3 linked regions of the Alligator mississippiensis genome follow. The protein of the gene in region 1 purifies or fractionates together with the protein of each later gene. This does not show direct contact. Links are inferred from orthologs where the notes say so. Each region holds a gene or a part of one and is shown on either strand. Other genes may lie near its edges. The genes, in order: EPS15L1, ITSN2 and AP2S1.

What was found.
Region 2: the proteins of EPS15L1 (region 1) and ITSN2 purify together in Homo sapiens (affinity purification with mass spectrometry; 5 studies listed by BioGRID and IntAct, with this or other methods). This does not show direct contact. The link is inferred for Alligator mississippiensis from reciprocal best matches to the Homo sapiens genes EPS15L1 and ITSN2.
Region 3: the proteins of EPS15L1 (region 1) and AP2S1 purify together in Homo sapiens (affinity purification with mass spectrometry; 4 studies listed by BioGRID and IntAct, counting the BioPlex papers as one, with this or other methods). This does not show direct contact. The link is inferred for Alligator mississippiensis from reciprocal best matches to the Homo sapiens genes EPS15L1 and AP2S1.

The regions. Positions count from the first base shown.
Region 1 is NC_081839.1:339,584-347,123, reverse strand, and holds the start of EPS15L1 (epidermal growth factor receptor substrate 15-like 1), read left to right. Parts: upstream 1-4,527; 5' UTR 4,528-4,564; coding exon 4,565-4,594; intron 4,595-7,540. Other genes in the region: CALR3 (calreticulin-3), read left to right, coding at 629-742, 828-971, 1,619-1,711, 2,525-2,692.
Region 2 is NC_081824.1:15,602,950-15,610,459, reverse strand, and holds the start of ITSN2 (intersectin-2), read right to left. Parts: upstream 3,061-7,510; 5' UTR 2,994-3,060; exon of another isoform or gene 2,972-2,993; intron 2,928-2,971; exon of another isoform or gene 2,809-2,927; intron 652-2,808; exon of another isoform or gene 1-651. Other genes in the region: intron Large complex component GCFC2, read left to right, coding at 3,310-3,586.
Region 3 is NC_081838.1:647,922-654,933, reverse strand, and holds the start of AP2S1 (AP-2 complex subunit sigma), read left to right. Parts: upstream 1-3,973; 5' UTR 3,974-4,075; coding exon 4,076-4,078; intron 4,079-5,794; coding exon 5,795-5,944; intron 5,945-6,362; coding exon 6,363-6,476; intron 6,477-7,012. UniProt on the Homo sapiens protein: Component of the adaptor protein complex 2 (AP-2). Adaptor protein complexes function in protein transport via transport vesicles in different membrane traffic pathways.

The sequences.
Region 1 (7,540 bases):
GTTTTGTTAGGCTTATGAAACTGAGATCTTTGGCATTTGGTGATTTAGGCTCCTGGCAGATGTTATATTTAATATGATTGCTAATTAGCCAGTTTGTGCAATTAACAGCACAATGAAACCAAATAAGACACAAAGTTATTAAAAAAAATATATGCAATACCTTTGTAGCTGGTGTCCTTTTTTCCCCTTAATTGAATATGTGGCTAGCGCTGAGTAGCTGACTGGCATTCCCAGCCATGGGAGGAGACTTGAGCACCCAGCTTGCTATTTACAGGATTAGGGGGAGCCTGGGATTGTGGTCTTGGATGCGTCCTGCACTGGCAACAGAGCAAGGTTGCATTCCAACTCCCCAATCCTACTATCACACCTCCTGCCATACACGTGTTGCATGGCAGGAATCCCAATTGCTGGGATCACAGATCAAATTCTGTCACACCTTTAATGACATCTGCCAGGGACCTTAGCAAATGAGGCTTTTCCTTTTCTGACAGATTAACTTGTTTAATCTTTTAACAAAGGATAATAGGTATATTTTTCTTTCTTTCTTGAACTGGTTGGGTAATGTCTCTTGCACGTATTATATAAAGTTGTGTTAATATTGCTATCTTCTTTATTATATATTTTAAAGGATTGGGATGAACCTGAATACATTCCAGACACTAGTGCCGAGAGATCTAAAGACTGGAACAGTGTGACTGATGGAGAATGGCGACACCCTATGATCAAGAATCCACTGTACAGAGTAAAATCATTCTAGTCATGTATAACTTCTTTAAACTGCTTGTTCTTTTGGCCAAAGGTATCAAGAATCATATGGTTTGTTGTAGGGTGAATGGAAACCAAGGAAGATTAATAACCCTAATTATAAAGGAGTTTGGCCCCATCCACAGATTGACAATCCAAACTACTTGCCAGACCTCAACATTCTCAGCTATGAGAACATTAGTGTCATTGGACTAGATATTTGGCAGGTCAGTTGTTTTAAATTCCTGCAGGTAACTAGAAATTAAAGTACTTATTCCATTCCTTGCCTCTACAGAGGTGTTTGTCGAACTTTTTTCTGTAAATGTCACTTAATGTGTAGGAAGGGTAGGGGTTAGCTAATACCTGTGTCAGCCTGCCCCCCCCCCCGCTTTTTAACTTGCCTTCATTTAAATATGTAATTGGCTGTGTTTTACATAGAAGTCAAATATTGCATTAAACAGATCTAATTAAACCACTGCTCTAATGCTGATGACTTCAAGATTTAATGAAAAATGAGGGAATAACATTCTTGTGTTTTCATATACTTTACTAAATGTGACTCTTCAGTGCATACTTTACTTATGCTCAAGTATCGTATGATGATAGGTACATATTTTTTTCTTCCAAACTAGTAATCCAAGCTACTATGGACAAATGTGGAAGTAAAAAAATGTCTAGAGTGTCCAACTTTCATTTAAAGAAATGACAGGGCCTTGTATTCTGGAGTACAATTCTGGCATTCATGGGACTATGTGCAAAATGTAGAATTCAGCAGCATCCTATATTTTAAGTAATTAAAAGGAATAATCATGTTCCCTGACAATATAGTTTTAGCTTAACTTTTTCCACCCAACCTTCTCTCCTTCCATTCAAGGTGAGAGCTGGAACAATTTTTGATAATTTCTTGATCACAGATGATGAAGAATATGCAGAAGATTTTGGATATGAAACCTGGGGAGAAACCAAGGTAATGAATTAAATCCTTGTCCCTATTTTAGCCACTCATTATCAAGTTAAAGGATTGGAGTTATGTAAAGGGGTCTGTCTTACGCTTTTTATTGAGTCAAAGAAGGAGTGTCCCCAGACACAAACAGTATAAAAGACAACTATTAGGCTGCTTTTTTAGGATCTCCCCTCAAACCCTTGTAAAAGGAATGTACAGTTCTGTGGAGGTTCCAAATAGGACTGCAGTCCATGAGAGTGTCCTAATAAATTGCCAGAGGTCTCTAGCCCATAGAGCAGCTCAGGGTCAGGAGAGAGAAAAAGTTGCTCAAAACCAAATGGACTGGTTCTCATCTCTTTCTGAAACACTTGCCAAGCATACAATCTGTGCATAGAATAATGAATCTTTGTTTAAATGAACGTGAGTTTGTTGGCTATACAAGTATCAAGTTCTTATTCCAGCACAAGCCTAAGTTACCGCATGTTTTAAAAGCAGCTTCTTTGCAAAACATTGAATAAATATAGTACCTAGAATCTTCCTCTGCAGGGGCTAGTACTGTCTTATGCTTACTTCTGAGTTGCTACGGCACCCAAAACTGGCATAAAGCTGAGCTTTTATAGTCACTCCTGTCTTGGTGCACTCACTTTTCCCTCCCGCAAACCTTTGCCAGCCACAAAAAAACTTGAAAAATCTTGGATGCCTGTTACTAATAAAGGCCTTAATCTTGCAATTCCTCTATAAAGAACTCCTTACCATTGACTTAAATGTAAAGCTCAATGAACAGAAGGCCTTGCAGACTTGGACAAAGAAAACCCCTCCATGTCCTTTTCTCTTTAGGACCCTGAAAAGGTGATGAACATAAAACAGGCTGAGGAAGAAAAGAAAAGGGAAAGGGCAGAAGAAGAAAAACGCTTCAGGGAAAGGTTTAACAAGAAGGTAGAAAAGAAAAAAGAATCAGGAAAGAGTAAGTTAGGGAGGAATACTGTCCAGAAGGAAGAGCTTTAATTCTTATTTGTGAAGTATTTGTGGAACTATCGGAAAGGTTTGCTTTTTTTTTTAAATCTGCTGTAAAGGTTTTGATGTCCTGTTCCCTCCTGCTACCCTCCCTTAGTAACAAGCACTCAAATACTAGTTAAAATTTGTTTTGAGAGCCTGGCTAAAATATTATTAATTTATCAATTTTTTTTTCAAATATTTTATTAAGTCAGGCTTCTTAGTCTAAGAATGTTAGATTGAAATGGAATTCAATAAAAATACCAAATGTATTTCTCAATGAAGGGTGATTTCTACTCAGTGGGTCTCTACAGGGGAAGCTTTACTGCACAGTAGACTTTGAATGTGTTACTTTTAGTGTTGACTTTGCTTCTCTGAAGATGGACTATCCGGTCCTCTCACTCCCAAAGGAGGCCTTTCACTATCGTACTCTGTATCAGCTGCAGAAAGACACAAAAGCCTGTGGCAGAACACTTCAGCCTCCCTGCCGACTCCACTGCTGACCTCAGGATTGCTGTTCCCAAGCGTGAAAAACCCAAACAAACCCCAAAACAAAAATGAATAACCCATTTGAATGGGAAATTGTGGGAACAAGAAATCCATCACAAACTGGTCTGTTAGGTTAACCTAAGTGAAATCTTAGTTTCTAAAGGTGAATATCTGCCCTCCTTTCTGACTGACTTCTGACTAAAATGACTACCTGGCTCCCTGTATCCATCATGTTTCCTTTGCAGATCTACCAGAGGGATCTTCCCTTCAGGTAGCTGTTACTTTCTTTTAAGGAACAAAGCTTTTTGAAGGGTGGGGAGGGATGGAGAAGCAGGGGAAGAAGCCTGGCCTATCTTATCTAAACACTTGCTATCCCTTGCTAATTACCTAGCCTAGGCTAGGGGTTGGCAACCTATGACTGGTGGAGCTATTCTGGCTGGCCTAAAATGCCACATCTTCATCTGCATGGTGCCTGGACAGCAGGAAGAAGTAATAGGAGTGGCATCAGAAAAATAATCCCAGCCTGCTGCTCCTGAGGTGTTGCTGACCTGTGACTTAGAGGCATCTAACTTCAGATGCCTCTAAGTAGGTTTCCCACATCTTGTTCAGAGAAGCCAGAACAGCTGCCATATCTTGTGAACACTGGTATTGTCTCTTATTCTCTGGCAGTTCCAGGCTAATGCTGTAAAAATAAATGATACGTTGTAAAGCAAAGAGTTAAGTGAGTGAGTCTCTGGTGTTGTCCAAAAGCTGAAATTCAGATTGTTTTATTATCCAGGAATTCAGAAACGCAAGCAGTGGAACTTGCCCTAATAATCCTCAGTGTAATATCTTGACTGAGTTACTTCAAATGTTTTCTAGTAACAGCTCATGAACAGTGAGACAGGGGAGGAGCTGGGGGTAGACAAGTCGGGTAACGAGCGTGGCGGGGGGGCACTGGCATTTGAAGGGGGAGCCCGGTGTGGAGACTGGTCTGACTGGCGGGGGAAGGAGACTGATGGACGGGGTGGGCTGGCTAAGGGGCAGACCAGCAGGGGAGTGAGACAGCAGAAGCCCTGGGAAGGAGTCTGTGTTGTAATAGAAACCGAGGACACGTCCATGCAAGAAGAGAAGTCAGCAGGAAGGTGTGACCCGCGCGGAGCAGGCGGAGCAGTGAGACGTGCATGCACTTGACCTCTCGGAGGAGCAGGCCGACCGGGGCTGCTGGGGAAACAAGGGCCGGCTTGTGGCTCGGGCCTCGGCCGGGCTCCGCTGCAGGTCGGACGAGCCGGCCGCCTGTCCGGGCAGCGCGCGCGAGAGACAGAGCCCGCCCCGCCCCGCCCCGCCCCGCCCATCGCTCGCCCCGCCCCCTGGCCGCCCCGCCCCCCGGCCGCGGCCCGAGTCCGCGGGAGGAAGATGGCGGCGCTCATTCCTCTCAGCCAGCAGGTAGCCGGCCCGGCGCGCGGGGGCGCGGGGCAGCGGGGGCGCGGCGCGGCCACCTGAGGCGGGCGCGGGTGAGGGGCGCTGGCGCGCGAGAAGCCGGGCCCGGGCGGCTGCTCCTAGTTCGCGGGCACGTCCGGCTGGTAGGGCCGGGCCGGGCCGGGCCGGGCCGGGCCGGGCGCCACTGCCGCGCTGGGCCGGGGCGGGCTGCGCTGCGGCTGAGCCCGGGGGCGCCGGGGCACCCTCGGCTCCCCGCGCGGCGCGGCGCGGCCCGGCCCGGCCCGGCCCGGGGAGGCCAGGCTGGTCCCGGGGAGCCGAGCGTGGGGCGCGGCGGCGGGCGGGGCAGAGCCTGCGCCCGGCTCGTCCCGGGAGTGCCGGCTGTTTCGGCTTGGCGCCAGGGCCTCCCCGCGCCGGCCTGGCACCTGCTGCGGGGGCGCCCTGCTTCCTCGGCCGGCCCTGCGGCGACGGGCAGCGCTGCGCGGCCTGGGCCCCCCGCCCCGCCCCGCCCCGCCCTGCCCCTGGCAAGGCCAGCCCCGCTGTACAGGCTGCGCTGAGGCTTGGCATTCTTGCCTGCCCGCATCTTGTTCTGAGCTGTTTAATTATTTTCTTATCCTTTAAATAACAGCGCTGGCATTGCTTAGTGCCCGGCCCTCCCCAAATGTCATCTAACTGATATTCTGTGAGAGCAAAAAACTACCCCTGCCTTAAAAGTGAGATGCTTTTCGGCACTGTGCCAGGTCAGTCAGGACTGCGGGAGCCGACGTGCCCTTGGTATGCCAGACATACGTAAAAGCACATCTTTAAATCTATTTCTTATGAGAGAGAGTTCTGAATTCAACCAGCATCACGTTGTATATTGAGTGTCCACTGCCAGAAATTTATCTTCATAATGCAATATTTGAGAATCCATAATAAGAGTTACCAATAAAACATTATACATTTTGTTTTTGATTAAATGCTAGTCTCTTATTTCCAGTCTTGAGTTCAAAATTATGCCTTTCTCCACTAGTTTTTGGGGATACGCAAAACTGTACTGGAGAATAGCTTTGTAGCAATCCCCTCAGACGCGTGCGTTTTTGCCAGAGGTGAAAGCTTTTCAGTCCACAATCAAAATGAGTCCTTTTTTGTTCAGAACTTATAAACCTAAAGTAAATTTTGTTTGCTGGATTGGGTTCCTGATCCGAAATCATGTAAGTCTTGATAATTTTTCAAATGTTTCAAGCGCTGTTTGGTCATTGATCATACTGACTGTTTCTGCCACCTTGATGAATCTGTTTAGCAGTCAGAATATTGTTAATTATTATTGTTCTTATTATTTGTATGCAAACCACTGTGCTATGCAAGCCTACATGTTCCTTGTACTGGACATAAGTAATGAACTTGCACTCACTATTGCTGTTTAAAAATAATAGGAAGTCCAGTGAGCTTCCTGGTAAAAAAAAATTAGGCATATGTGTACTGATAATCAGCTTAGGAAATAGCATAAAGGTGTGCTGAAAACAGGCGTAAGTCACACTTTCAGGAGTTTTGCCTTTTTTTGTTTATGGTCAAATTGGGTGCAAAACTTGTAATCTGTCCATTGTGTCATTTAAAAGGACTATAAAACATTTTCTTTTTGGACATTAATCAAAGTTAATCAGACCTAAAATTAAAGATAATTGGACGTATGTTTAGCCCAGCCACTGGGGCTGCACAGGTAACTGTACTGAAGTTCAATGCAGCAGTCTAACCTTGGTGGATTATTTTTGAGTGTACATCTATCCTGGTCTATCTTAGACCTGATTCCACCTTTTTAGACTAGTCTGTATGTACTGGACTTCTATACTGTTACAGGTTTAGATTGATTTCCAGTCACTGAGACTGGGTCTAAGTGTAAGATCCATACCTGGGCAAACTAAATTGGATTGGGTGCTCATTTTTAAAACAATTTAAATTGGATCAGCTCCTCCTCCTCCTGCCCTAGCTGTGCTGCTCCGGTCAGCAGGTAGCACATGGAAGCGGTGGGGGATATGTGCCAGGGGGCAATCCGCAGCTGGGTAGCTCCCACCTCAGCATGTGGGGCTCCAGCTTCCAGCCCCCTTCCACCCATTCCGCCTGCCCAGCATGATGACCAGCCACCCATGGGTGGCCAAGCGGGTGGAAGGTGGCCAGGATCTGGAGCCAGAGCACCGCACGATGCGGCAGGAGCCTCCTGGCGCAAAGTGAGTATGGGCAGGACTGCGACATGGGCTGCCCTGGGTGGGAGTGGTGGGGCTTGGCCCCACGCATAGCACCACAGGGGCAGCCGTGGGCCGGGCAGAGGTGCACCATACCTGCATTGGCACCATACCGCCCATGTGGGCTCTGCTCCGTGCTACTCCTGCCTTCCCCCACCTCCGGCCGTATCCCAGGACCCAGCACACAGGCAGCTCCACGCAGACATGCACATTCTCCCCCCCCATACCCATACACACACCCTACTCCCCCAAACACAATATACAAGAGTACGGCTTTATTTTGAGATATTATGCAATCATCTCTATATACACTACTCAAAAAAACATAAATCAGGGCAATTTTTTTTTAAATTAAAATATGTTATAGTAGATGTTTGATTTTTATATATGATTTTTTAATCTATAATTTGTTAAAATGATGTCTTCCAAAAGATTTTGTGTACTCACTAAAACTCGTTAAGTGGCCCGCCTGCCAAAATAATTGCCCACGCCTGTCATAGTATTACTATAACATTCCTAATAAATCAAGTCTTATTACAGTGTTATGGCTATTTTATACATTTAGGTTCTTGCTCTTGAAAATACATGTGCAAAATTAAGCTTGTGAGTAATCACAAAAAGTTTAAATCAGTAAGGCTGCTCTTGTTGAAAGTTAAGTTATGCCCATGAGCTTACAGGACCAGGTCTAAGGAGCATTCATATAAAGTCATATAAAGATTTTGTGTAAGCCGTTAGT
Region 2 (7,510 bases), on another chromosome or scaffold:
GCCAGAAAGCCAGCAACAGGTAGAGAAGGTGGATCTGCATGCTGTCTCACCCTCCCCAGCTCTCAGAATCCACACATTTGCAACTGTGCATGCCCCCCCAGGGTTTGCCCCAGACCTGTACACCACTATCCTGCACTTAAAAAAAAAAAAATCTAAATAACTGTTTCTATCTTGGCCTAACACACAAATGAGTGACACTTATTATTAGTTGTGGCATGTATCCTTATAATTCAATTTTACAAGCCAGTCAAGTAATAGCACCTATCCCACAGAGTTTATAATCACAGAAAGAAAATACAATAAGGTTTCTAGACTGCATTTCAAGGCAAAGAGGTGACTAATGAGCAGGTAGGAAGGACGATGGGAAGGGGGAGAGACCAGCTGAATAACAAGGAGATTGTTCCAGACATAGATACAGGATGACTGTAGATACAGAAACCAAGATTGAGAAGAGACTAATTAAGATGAAAGACTTGGGGAGAGTGGAGGGAGCAGGAAGGGAGGAGTATTAAATACTGTTTACAATGATCACAGATTCTTTTTCTATTCTTACTACATTATCTCCAGCTGAGCTAATGCTTCTCTGTAGAGAGAACAACAAAATATGCCTAGATATTATGAAAATAAAGGCTCTAGAAATACTTAAAACAACCAGATCTTTCATATTTTTCAAGTCTTCAGTGCCTTCCCTTTGAAATTTAGTTGGCTCGCTGCCTGCAGTCAGTCAGCAAATCCCAGTTATAGGCAGCACAATGTTCTGAAAGGTGATAGGTGTAAATCCCTACTGTCAGCTGAACAGATCATAGATAAAATTGTCCATTCTTTGAAGGAGCAGAAGGAACAAAATTATCTAATGCCTCTGGTGTACTTCATAGTTTGGCTCACTTCCTCTGCAGTATTGGTGCTTGTCCAGACATGCTAGAAACCAGTGATTTGCTCTTCCGGTCCAAAACCCATACCTTTTCCGTGACCAGATAGTATCTTGGATTAATGATAGCCAAATCCCTTCAGTCATGTTCTTAAACTAGGGGCACCAACCTTATAGCGGGCTGGATGTGTGGCACGGTCAGCATGCCGGCCAGGTCCCATGCAGGGTTGGCATGTGGGATCCAGCACACCAGCTTGATCCCCACATGCCTGGATCCAATTGCGCACTGGTGTGATCTAGCATGATCTGGTGCACAGGGCCATGTTATCTGGCACACGGAGCGCCACATGGGTCTGAAAATTTAGCAGCAGGGGGTGAACAATTAATGATACCACCACTTCCCCACTTAGGGAGCCCTTCTGGCTGGATTACATAGATCTGTGGGCTGGATCTGGCTCACAGGCCAGGAGTTGAGCACCCCTGGCTTAAACAATTTAATAGTGAGGAATAAACAAAGATATTGATAAGCAGAAATTGATTCCAGCTGTATGGAAAGACTTCCTCACCATGACCCACAGCTTGTATGCAGGTCATAAATTGCTGTCTAGTGGATAAGAGAGGTTGCCTTACTATTGAATTTAAGTAGCCAGAAAGAAACAACTGCAGAAACGTTTGCCTGGGATCTCCTGAGCCCATATTTACAAGAAAAGCAGCAGGACACTCTTTGCTGTGATTCCCTTGTGTTACCAGTAGCATGCTAGGGTGTTAGGTCTATGCGGTGTCAGGGCTGATGGTAGTCTTACACAGAGTTATTGTATAGTGTGGCTCGGATAGGGATCATCCTGCTTCAGCCAGCCCTAGTTTTCTGTGACTCTATGAAGACTTAATTACCCAATTACTCAAGGGTGCCCACTTCTCACAAGACAACCGCTCTCTCTCCCATCTCTCGGTTCTAATCCTTAAAGGCAAGTCTACAAACTTCACTTCATCAATCTACTGGATACAAAAAAAAAAAAAATCATGCACTTAATACAGACATTGGATTTACCACACATTATAACCTGCCTGCCATCCGATAACCCCAGGTAACCTGTCTGCATTTTACCAGCTCCGTTCTATCACCAGATCAACATCCTCCTTCCCCACAACTTACCAGTCTCACACCTATTGTCCCCCATTCCCTCTGATCCTCACTGCCACGCATTTGCATTTTCACAAACCTGAATTTTGCAAATTGGCTTCTATTCTACCCAGGACAGCACACATCATACCACCAGACTCCCTAGGCTGAAGAAGGGTGTTTGTGCCTGAAAACAATTTTCCCAACTATTTAGTTGGTTTAGTAAAAGGTATCACACATCTACCCAAAGAACCTTGCCTGCCTATGAAGACTTGAATTTTAGTCAGTTTTGGATTTTAAACTTCATTTAACAATGAGAAAGATTTCTAAACTCCCTGCTTGCCATCTGACACCTCCAGGGAAGGAATCGTACCTGATCTACACAACCAAGAGCAACTCAGAACAACTCACAAAGACACGCTCATAGATCCAGAGGGACAGATTTCCATCTTCCGCACCCTCTGTCTGTGCAAAAGTGAAGTTTATTTCCTACCTATTGGGAATTTTCACTATCTTTAATTTTCCCAGAGGCCGACAAAGGGCATTTGACGTTTATTTTTGGGGCTGTCCTTGCTCGCAGAAAAAGATTAATTTTGCCCCACCCGAAAGCTCGCAGAAAAAAGATGAATTGTGTCTGCGATTTTCTCGTTGGTCTAATAACAGGTCTCATCTCTGAACTAAGAGCTCTAGATTTTTGCATTTCTTTCCGTCTCGGGCTACCAAATGCATCCTACGAAGACCTGAAGCGCATACAAGTGCCAGCGTCCCAGCAAGGAGGAAGGGCGCAGACACCTCCCACCACTGCTGTGGTGCAACTAACCCCGGGTTTTACTCCGCAGCAAATCCTCTGAAGCCGGAGGCGGGCAGGCAGGCAGGCGGCTCTCCCCGGGGCTCCAGCCCCCCAGCTCTGAGCCAGAGACAACAACGACGAGGAGAAGACACGTGCTACCGTACTTAGTTTGCACGGGTCCCGCTTGCTTTACCAGAGAAGGCAGCGACCCGCACCTGCTCCCCCGTGGTCCTCCAGGAAAGACCGCCCGCGCCGAGCGCGCTCCTCCACCAGCGCCGCCCCGCAGCGACAGCACTCAAAACTCCCCAGCTCCGCACCCCACTTCGTCCCAGCCAGGGGAGGGTTAAAGACACTTCATCCTCATTGGCCAGCACCCTCTTCTGCCCCGCCCACTTCCCTTGTGACACCCACGGGGCGGAGCCAGCAACAGGTGATTGGTCGACACCATTTCCTCAGCTAGCCGGGCTGCGGCGCGCATGCGCATTGGGCGTCGGCGTTCTACCGGGGCCTGCGTGACCGGTACCGGACAGAATGTTCCGCCGGCGTCCGCGTCACTTCCGGGGTCGCCGCCGGGTGCAGTCCGCCAGCAGCGAGGAGGAGCCGGGTCCCGGCGTCGAGGGGGGGGAGGAGCGGCAGCGGCAGGGCCCTGTCAGCCCCGACCCCGGTCCCGGTCCCCCGCGGCTCCCGGAAGCGCCGACGGTGAGCGCGAGGGGCCAAGAGGCGGCGGAGGACGGAGGCGAAGGCGGGGCCCGGCAGGCGCGGGGGGGCAGGGACCTGCTCAGCTTCGGGAGCGACGAGGAGCGAGAAGGTAGAGCCCCCCCTCCCCCACTCGCCCCGCAGGCGTCCGGGCTTGGCCCCTCTGCACCTTACCCGCATGGCGTAAGTTGCTGGTGGAGCGCACAGTTCACATGGACTGGCCCCACGGGCCAAGTCGGGTGATAACCACGTCTGTCCTGCTCCCCCAAGAGCCGGGTGGCAACAGAATTAGTGCTTGGAAATGTGTAGCGGCTCCGGAGGTGGTTTCCAGCCAGCTTTCGGTTGAATGTGCATCTCAACCCCAGGGGCCGGGCAGAGGGAGCGGGCGAGGAGGCCTGTGGGTCCGACATAAGGTTTGGCCTCATGCTTGCTCGTCCCATGCCAAGTGTCTGCTGCGTACCAATGACTGCCTGACTCCACGCGACGGAAAGTATCGCGGGAAATGCCCCCTTAGACATCCGTGGTGCATCCGCACCTTGAAAAATGTGCCCAGGTCTGGTCCCTGCACCTCACAAAGGGTATAGGAAAGCTAGAGACGGCGCAGAGAAAGGTGGCGAGGACGATCGGTGGTGTGGAGGGCTTGTGTGAGGAGGGAGGAAGAGGCCAAGCTTGACTGAGTTTAGAAAAGAGGGGTTTGAAGGGCAACATTAAGAGTTTACAAAATGCGAAACAACGCAGAGAAAGTCGCTAGGGGTTTGTTATTGACTGTCTCACAATACAAGAAGTAAGGGTCACAGAATGACGCCAGGTGGTGAGATTAAAAGTAATGAAAGGCAGTTCTTTCTCTCTCAGCCTGTAACTTCAGGGTGGAACTCATGGGCGCCTTTTTGAGCTGTCCTGGCTGCCGATGGCGTTTCTTCATGGCTTCGTTATTCACAAAATCGTGAAACAGTTCCTCGGCATTGTTTCAGAAAGCTTTCTTTAAGTCCTCTCTGTCTGTAAGCACTCGCCCTTCCTAGCTATAGCTACAGCTGCAATGTAACTTGGCTGTGTGGAAAGAGCACGTTTAGTTACAAACTTAGAAAAGCTGGGGGTCTGTTTTTTTCAAGCGAATCAGTAGCTTGTCTGATGCACTCAAATTTGTCTGCTTCATTGACTCCAGAAAATTTGGCTTAGTGCTTGGTTGTGAAATGGCACTGGATGCTGAAAGTACAAGATACCACTCTTTTACTACACAGGCCACAAACAACATGATCCCCTTTCTGCACAAAACCATACAATTCTCTCCACGCTGGCTGAAACGTTCAAGTATCCAACTTGGGTTTTTGCTATCCATGACTAAGTACATATAGGCCTCTTAACCAGTTTAAGTAGTGCAAGGGTTCTCAAACTTTCTTTTGCTGGACCTCATTTGAAAATATTTTAGGCTGTGGCAAATAGAGATGTGAACACTTAACCATTCACATACTGATAATTGGTAATGCTGTACGAGTTATCCTTTAGCTTGGGGCGAGGAGCAGTCTGGTGAGGGAATGGGAGAAAGAGAAGTGGCATCATGCCCCGGAAGGTGGCAAGACAGGTAGAAGGGAGTGGGGACTTAGTATGGCAGGGAAGCTATGCAGCTGTTGGCAGCCTGCCTGCTGCCTGTGCTGCCCCAGGCCGCTTCTCTACCATGTGCTCTGAGGCATGTGTGCAGCTGCCACCACTGCCACAGAGCCAGTGCTGGAACTCTGGAGCTTGGTGCAGTTGTTTGCAACCTCCTAGCTGCCTGCTGCAGCTGCCTAGAGCCTGGGTCACCTGTGGCTGGCACCTGGGAGGCTGCAAACAAGCTGTACTGGTCTTGAGTATGGATGGGCTCAGTGGCAGCTGTGCCTCAGCAACCCCAGCTCTTTCCCATCCATGCATTCTGCAGCCCCTTCCTGACCCTACACCCAGAGACACGTGTGCAGCTGTGGCTGCTAAGGAGCCCGGTGCAGCTGTTTGCAGCCTCCCAGCTACCTGCCATAGGCAGCCTAGGCTCTAGGCAATTGCTGCCTGCCACGGAGCATGGGCTGCATGCAACACAGCTTGCAGCTTCTCAGCCGCCTGCTGTGAACAGCCCAGGCTCCGTGGCCAGAAGCATCTGCCCAGAGCCCAGGCCATCTGTGGTATGCTGAGCAATATGGCCTTGCGTGCCATGCTCTGGCATATGTGCTGGAGGTTGCTGATTCCTGTGTTAGTCTATGATTAATCTTAACTGTGATATAATTTGTTTTCTATGTTTTCCTCTCTCTTCCTTATTGTGGTTAAGTCCAGACATATTCTGTCTGAGTTAGTACTTAATGTTGCCTATAGTTAACCGTTAGTCTTGTTTCAAATCCTAAAAGGGTTATTTGAAGATTACTGCGTTTGTAGAGGCAGCAGCAAAAAGCAGTTTTTTTTTCCAAAAGACTTTAGGCCTTGACATAGCGTTTAACAGTCTGGGGTTACTTACCAAATGAAGGGCATAGACTACACCACATTGCCTGGCTACTGGCACTGTACAGGAGCCTCTCCAAGGCCTGAAGGCAGAAGTTGTGGACCTGGATGCAGAGGCAGACCAGGCCCTGTCTGCTGTCCCACAAGGGGAGGCTCAGGACATCTGCAGAGACCCAGTGCTGTTCCAGCCAGAAGAATCCCAGCATCCATCTCTGGAGACTGGCCTGGTGGGACAGGCGTTTCCTCCTCCTCTGCCCCTGTGGGGGCAAAGGTCCAGCAGAGCACTGCCTGAACCACCCAGTGCACTACGTCCCCCAACACCAGGAGAGGGGGAGATACAGCCCCTTGTGGTGGGGAAGGGGGTAGCACAAGGGGTAGCAGGACAGCTGGCGGTGGGTCTGTGCAGCATCTCCCTCAGGGTTTTTGGTGGGGACCCTGCTTCTCTCCTGTCTGTACTGGGGTTGCAGGATGTGCTGGAGGTTGTAAGATATGCTGGAGTCTGTGGCAAGGGTGGCTTTGATTGGGGCTGGGGGAGACAGTTCAGGCACCTGGGTGGTGATGGTGGGCTGTAGGTCCACACACAGTGGTGGTAAGAATAGCAGGAGCCTACAGCAGCTCAGCAGGGCTCCTTCTGATTCCTGGCCCAGCAGCAGCCAGGGGAAAGTGGTGGCACCCCTCTTTGGACACGGGGCACTGGGCAAAATGGTCCCATTCTCTGACTCAGGAAATAGCAGTTCTTATGTTCTATGTTCTCATATCTGCTGTGCTTGTGACTTAGGATGTGATTTGGAATTGCAGTATTCACAAGTGTGACAGGGAGCGAGGCCAGCCTCATAGTTGGCCCACCCACCCGACTTTTCTGCCACGGCTTTGTTGGAATTAAATAGTTGTTTTTAGGCAGGAGGCTGCCCCTTTTGTGTCCTGATGCCAAGGGCGTAATACATGACTCTGAACCATTCCTACACCATGTCTCATGCCTCACAGATGGCATCTAAAATGACTTCCAACTCCCCTGGCCCCTTTGCTGGGCTGCACTTGGCCTCCAGCCCACAATTGGCCTCAGGTGTCCTCAGATGTACCTTGGCCTTTTCTGCCCCCCTCACTGGGGCCACTACTCTGGCTGACCTATGCGCAGTCCTTCAGGCCCCCATGGGCCCTACTCCACGTGGCCTCCAGCTTTCACTCCACCCCCTCACTGGGGCCACAATTCTGCCCTCTCACTGGGGCTTCTGGGCTTTATACCTGTTAGGCCTCAAGTGTCTGTTGACATGCCTGGATCCCTAATCTGTTCCCTCTATGGGGTTACCCACCAGGTGGTGGGGGCTGAGGCTATATGGTACCTTGCACTGGAGAGGCACAGGTGTAGCATTTCCTGGAGACCACAGGCAGCCCCACCACACCATCTAAACCCAGCAGGGTATAGTTTCATATCTTATCCAGGACCAGGGACCTTTTCTATCCCTACGGTTCCTAACCTGACCTCCAGATGTCCTGAGAGCAGCAGTACTCAGGTCACGCGATGTTCATTCTTTGGCTCCCCAGTTGCAAGTGGCTGGCTCTGGTCTTGGGGCCTGGTCTT
Region 3 (7,012 bases), on another chromosome or scaffold:
AGGAGGCGTGGCCCAGCCCTGATCCAGCTGCGGAGTGGGAGGTGGCATCCCGATCCAGCTGTGGGGAGGCATGGACCATCCCAATCCAGCCATGGCTCGGTCCCATGGGGGGAAGGGAGCACAGATGTGCAGGGTTTGGGAGTTTGGCAGCGGGGAGGGCGGCCGTATTAATTGCCATCACTCCCCCACCACCAAATTTCCTGACCGGTGGAGAGCCCGGCGGGCTGGACGTGACGGCTCCACAAGCCGCCTTTGGCCCACGAGCCAACGGCTGAGCGCTGCTGCCCTGGATCATCCCCTGAACTCAGGTGTGGTCACACGCCCTCAGGGGAACATTAGCTCAGGTATGGAAAGGACTGACAGCGAAGCACCAGAGGCACGCACAAGATGCTCCAGGCGGCAAGATTTTGCTTTACAAATCTGGCTGAGAGACGTGCATTTCATTATTATTTATGACTGCAGGACGAATGAGACAATAGCTCTGGCCCCCTTTTTTTTTTTTTTTTATTAGTTTGTTGTGTTTTTTAAGCTTAATATAGAAGCTAGCAAATGAGTCTGCACTTCAGTAAAGTGCTGTTTGTGTTTTGCTTTGCTCACACACTGAATAATACAGCGCTGGGCCCCCAGTGCATTAGTAAAGCTTCTAGTTTCTCTCTAAGTGGAGAAAGGCGTGTGTTGTGTTAGCTGTGATCACAGACAGCGAGGGCAGGAAGGGATCTCCGGAGGTCAGCTCTAGTCCAGCCCCTGCTCCGAGCAGGACCAGCCCCAACTACATCATCCCAGCCAAGGCTTTGTCCAGCCGGGTCTTAAACACCTCCAAGGATGGAGACTCCTCCACCTCCCTGGGGACCCTGTTCTTGTGCTTCACCACCCTCACAGTGAGAGAGTTTTTCCTAATATCCAACCTCAAATTGCCTTGCTGTAGCCTGAGCCCATTGCTCCTTGTCCTGTCATCTGGGCTGACACTATCTGCACCCCCCTTTTCAAAACCCTAGATCCACCCGTGTGCGCTGAGGACATGGGGTCCGGCGCCAGGCCCAGCAAAGCAGGTTACAATGGTATGTGTGTCGTGTCACACAGGATCGTAGGAAAGTCGGCCTCACAGAGAATCCGGCTGGGCAAGCCCGGCACTCCTAATGCAGGGCAGAAGGGGGAACCGACCAAAAACGTCTTTTCCCTTTAAACCCTCCATAGAAATCCTGGCGTGGTGGGGTAGGCAGAGGTCACGTCTAGTCTAAGGCCCTGCCCGAGGCAGGATCAGCCCCGTCTGAACCAGCCCAGACAAATCCACCACCAAACCTCTTTGGAAAACTACCGTCAACCTTGACACAGCATCAGACATCGCATCCGAACCTGCTCCAGGTGAGGCAGGGGGACCACGACACCCGATGTCCTGCTGCTGGAGGAGGCTGTTCAAATACACCAGAGAGATCCCAGGCTGAGGCCACGTCCCCACTGCGGAAGAAAGCAAAGCCCCCCCAGTCCGTACCAGTCTGACTATGGGAGAAAATTCCCAAATGCAGCATCAGTCTGACCCTGAGCAGCAAGGTGAGACCCTCTAGCCAGGACCCTCAGGCGTAGGTCCCTGCAGATACATTGGCACAGGCTAGTTGCCATCCCCAGCCTGGGCTGCAGCCAACACCCAGCGGCTCTGAGGAAGGCCTAAACCCCCCCGGCACATCGTGGAGGGGGGCAACCAGCGAAGCCCAGAAGCCCGGGACATCCCCATAGTGGAGCATGGGCATCGCTACGCCTAGATCACCCCAGCCAGTGGCTGCCCAGCCTCCCCTGGAGCCCCTCCAGGGGTGGAGAGTCCACAGCTTCCCTGGGCCTCACTGTAAGGGGGGCGTGACGGAGGGGTTGGTTTCCCTTCCAGCCCCATGCGGCAACCAGCAAAGCCCAGACGCCTGGGAGCTGCTTTTCACCCTTGGGAGGCAGGAAGGAAAAGGCACGGACCCGTGGTAGTGCTCTCCTGGCAGCTCGCCTCTCCAGCCAGGCACTGAAGTGGCCGGGTCCGCGGGTCGCCTAGAGGACAGGAGAGCTGCCGGGATTGCGATGGCCAAGAAACCCCAGCTGGAGTATGAGGCACGATGCCTGATGTGAGATTTAGTCTAACCTGGATGGGTATCTGCCACCGCCCGGTGCTGCCCAGCTGTCCACAGAGGGTCAAATGATGCAATACCTGTGTCGCCTGCACGGGCCAGGCTCAGAGGCACTCAGTTCCTATGGGTTTCATGCGAGTCAGACCCTGAAATACCTTTACAAAGCAGTATCAAAAAGCTTGGGAGAGGGAGATGCCTCTGGGGCGCACGCCAGAGCCCAGCACTTAGAGAAGAGGCAGCGCCCGAAAGCTGTAGATCGCCCATCGGGAGAGCAGGGCGCTTCATCCTCCAGCCCCGTTCCTCCGTGGTCTAGCATCCTGGCGAGGCGGTTTGAGCCTTCTGTAAACTCAGCCCCTGCTCGGTGGGAAATAATCACAGCTTCAGACGGCCGCCGGTGACTCAGGGAGGCTATTTCTGGTTCTCCTCGCAGGTCCCCACTGGAGACAGGCGTGGCTTTATCCCCATCTCACAGTGGGGAAGCTTGGCTCCGGGAGAGGAAATGACTTCCCCGATGACAAGCAGAGCTGGGAACTGGAGCTGTGGCCTGACCAAAGCATCCTTGAGAGGATAGTAACTTGCTGAAGACTCTTCCAGCCAGCAAAAGTCCCAGAGAAATCTGGAACCAAAGGAGACAGCATCCCCACGCCGGCTCGTCCAAGTCTTTGCTCCTCTGTGCGCGCAGGAGACGGCCCTGCTGGGCACCCGCCTGATGCAGGGGCGTGGGAAACAACAGAACAAGGGGGGGAAGCTGCTGAGCTGCAAGCGGGACCGACCGGACCGGCAGGCCGAGGACGATGCTTCGGGCAGGGCGTGGAAGGAGCAAGGTGCTGAAATCTGCTGCGCGAGACTCTGCTGCGTCAGAGATACCCCGACGGCTGGGACCCCGGGTCCACCTCTCCCGCTGTCCTGTGCCGCTCCCCGCGTGGCAGGGCGGGCTACCGCTCCACCCCACTGCCAGCATCGCCCCAGCCACTTGGCACTAGGCACTGCCTGGTCTTTGCTGAGACCAGAGAGCGGCCGAGCCCTCTGGGAAGCCCACGGGCACGAGAGGCCGGAGGGAGGCGTACGGAGGATGCCGTCGGCAGCCCAGCCTGGCTGCGGGCGGCTGGAAAGCCTCTGGGAACTGCGGTTTCACAAGCCCCAGCACGGGGCCCAGTCCTTCGCTCCTGCCGGCAATTCGTGCAGCACAAACAGCTCCACAGACAGTCGAGAGAGGACGTGTTGTCTGCACCGCGGCGCCGCTCAGCCGCGTGTCCTAGGACCCCTCCTGCCCTGGGCCCTGGGGGACTCCCCGCCGGCGCGGCGCGGCGCGGCGCAGGGGCTGGGCTGCTGGAGCGGAGCAGGAAGCCGGACGACGCGCAGCGCCCGGCCAGCCCCGGACACCGACGTTTCTGCCGCGGTGCTGGCCCTGCCGGGCTGCGCGAGGCCGCTCCGAGCCTGGCGTGGTGTCAGGTCCAGCCCGGCGTGGCGAAGCGGCTGCACGATGCATTTGTCGGGGTGGTTCGGATAGAGCCGGTCCTTCTCCCTCCGGCGGGGTTGGACTCGATGTAGGGTGGCCAGGCGTCGCGGGCGGTCCCGGATTTCGAAGTCGGTCTTGGTCTCTGGGGTGGGGGGCACCGGCCCCTGCGAGCCCCCAGGCAGGGCCGGGGGCCCAGGGCGGGTGCGGCCTGCGAGGCCTCCCAGAGCCGCGGCCTCGAGTAGGGCGCTCGCCCGGCGGCAGCCGCCCCAGTCCGGAGCGCGGCGCCTGGAGCTCGAGCGCCCCCTGGCGGCGGCGAGGCGGGGCTGGGTGGGGACTACAACTCCCGGCAAGCCCCGCGGCTTCGCATGGGAGGAGGGACCCCCGGAAGTGCGCGCCTCCTTTGGAACTACAACTCCCGGCGGGCCCCGCGGCGAGGGGGCACCCGCCGGATATCCGGTGGGGTGGGGAGTGGGGCAGGCAGTGGCCCAGAGCAGCTGTGCGGGGTCGGGCCGTCATGGTGAGTGGGGGCTCCGTGGGAGCTGGGGTCCCCTATAGGGATAGGGCGGGAAATGCCCCCTATAGAGACGGGTCCTTCTAGGGAAGGGGTGTCCCCTATAGGGAAGGTGGGGGTTCCCTATAGGGAAGGGGTGGGGGCAAGTGCCCCCTATAGGGGAGGGGTGTGGGGGGGGCCCAGCCAGCAGCCCCCAGTGGCAGCCCCTGGCCCGTGCGTGTCCGCGTGGGAGCCGGCCGTGTGGGGGGACGTCAAGGGGGGGTGTGCGGGTGTGCGGCTGGCTCTGGGGTGGGCCGTGGAAGGGCGGCCCCCGCGGGGCTGCGGCGCCGGTTGTGGGCCCTTGGCCTCGGCGGAGTCCCCCAGGGGTGCAGGCCCCCTGCCCCGCGTGGGCGCGGGGACGCTGCAGCGCGTGGCCTGGACGTGCCGCGGGTGCCGGGGACGGGGTCTCTTCCCTCTCCTGGGCTGCGCCCGTGCTCCGTGGGCGCTCGACCCCGCGGGGTCCATCCTGGAGGGCCTCGCCGCTGTGCTCGGGCTCCGACGGATGCCGCGTTTGGGGCGAGGCAGGGATTTCGCCCCGCGCAGAGCGGCGCGGACAGGGCGGCGCTGCCCGCCCCTGCAGCAGGGGCACGGCCTCCGCTGCCATCTCTTGATAACAGCCTTTGACGGCGCTGCCAGCCGCGGCCCCCCCGCTTTCCCGGGGGAGGTTCGGGGGCGATGCGAGGGCTGACGGTCGTGTTGCTCGGAGGTTCGACGCTGGGTTTGCCTGGGCTGGTTGGGACGGGGCTGACCCTGCCTTGGGCAGGACGTGACCCCTGGAGCTCCCTTCCAGCCCTTCTGCAGGGTTACCGGGCTGCCCCGAGGAGCGGGAGAGCACGTGGCATAGAGCCGGCGACGGTCCATCTCCCGACACGGGTTCACCGGACCCCCGGTGCCCGGGCTCCTGCAGCTGGGAGGTGCCCGGTGTGATGCCCGCCAGCGCTCGCACCGTGGAGGCTTTTTCCTAATGGGACCTTCGGGTGCACGGGGCAAAGTATCTGGAGGTTGAGGTGTTGGGGGTCCCACCGCTGGTTCCTAGTGGGGGTGGCAAACACAGCTCTGGGCTGGGTTGTGGTCAGGATTTCCTCTGAGGAAGCCCTTTCCCCCCGCTCAGCAGAACGGAGCTCGTGGCCTTTCCTGCTGAGCGCGCACTGGCGGGGAGGCAGCTCCTTCCAGGAAGCCTCCTCTCTGCCCCCGCCGACCCCGCCAGGAGTGCGGCGGTGCGGGGCCCGACAGCTCCAGGGGACGGCGAGCCCCGTGGCTGGGGGACGGGACCTCCACGAGATCTGGGCTCCTGGTGGGAGAGGAGAGATCGCGGGTGTCGGGCTTGTGGCAGGGCAGAGCCCCGGCGTTCCTGCCTGCAAAGGGCTCTGTCCCAAGCCATCCTGAGCTGCCCTGGTGCCTCTGCTGTGGGGCGTTCCCCTGCAGCGCGGCTCTTCCTTCCCCTATCGCTCTGCGAGCAGCTGGGTGGAAGGAGAGGCCTGGTTGGCTTTGCTCTGCCGGCGGGGAGGTGGGGTCGGTGGGTGAGGGGAAGGAGCCAGACCCCCTGCAGCAAAGGGGGCAGCTGAGAGGGGGCAACCCGCCCTGCCCACTGCATTGGGCTCCCCTGAGGGTCTGCACCCCTCGAGCCGTGCTGTTGTCCGTGACCCAGGCGATGGAGCCTGACCTCATCCGCTCTCCACGCAGATTCGCTTCATCTTGATCCAGAACCGGGCCGGCAAGACGCGCCTGGCCAAGTGGTACATGCAGTTCGACGACGACGAGAAGCAGAAGCTCATCGAGGAGGTTCACGCCGTGGTGACCGTGCGGGATGCCAAGCACACCAACTTCGTGGAGGTACCGCTCTGCCGGCGTGTCACGGCCCCCGACACTTGGGGAGGGGGTGGGCGGGACGTGAAGGTGTCGGCTCCTTGCCAGATCCACCTTGATGTGGGTGGATCAACCCGTCCAAGGAATCCTGGCCCAGCCCCGCCGTGCGGCTGACAGCAGCTTGCTCTTGCACCGCGGGCATGAGCTTCCAAAGTCTCCCATCGTAGCGGGAGGAGCCAGAGGCAGGGGGAGGGAACGTCGGCTGGCACCGAGAGCGGCTACCTGGGACTGGGAGCTCCTGGGTTCTGCTGCTGTCTTGCTGCGTGCAGCTGGGGTGAGGGTTTTCCCTGACAGGAAGGCAACTGAGAGGACCTGGGGGCGCAGGGGTCTCCTCCAGGCCGTCTGCTCCCCTGGTGGAGCCTCCACCGTCGTCCTCTCCCCTCAGTTCCGGAACTTCAAGATCATCTACCGGCGCTACGCGGGGCTGTACTTCTGCATCTGCGTGGACGTGAACGACAACAACCTGGCGTACCTGGAAGCCATCCACAACTTCGTGGAGGTGAGCGCTGGTAGGAGGTGGCTGGGCCTGGTCTTGGGGGCACGGCTCTCGGACGGTTCCTCAGGGAGATGGAGCCTTCCTCGGTGATTGACCGGCTGTCCACATCTCCCTCTGTGCGTGCCTGGGCCAGCCAGCAGCTCCTGTCCCTCGCCGCGAGGCTCCTCCGGGTCTGTGGGTTACAGGGAGCAGAGCAAAGCCCCACCTAGCACTCGCTGGGCTCTGAGCAACCGCTGATGGCTTTGCTGGCTGCAAAAGACCCGTTTCCTGCCCTGCGTCCCATGCGGTGGGGCTGGGGGGTGAAGCTCCAAGGAGGGCAACGAACCATCATGACCGGTGCCCTGGGTTGCTTCAAATCTCATCGTCTCTGGGCACCTCATGGTAGAAGCTGTGCCCGAGCCCTGCCGTCGGATCTCGGCTGGATGCAGCAGGGGGGCAAGCAGGGTCCCCTGGGCTGAGTTGAACAGGAGGGCACGCCGGTCTCGTGGCACCAGGTGGCACAAATCAGGCCCCGACTCCCACTGTCTTTTTTCCTCCTC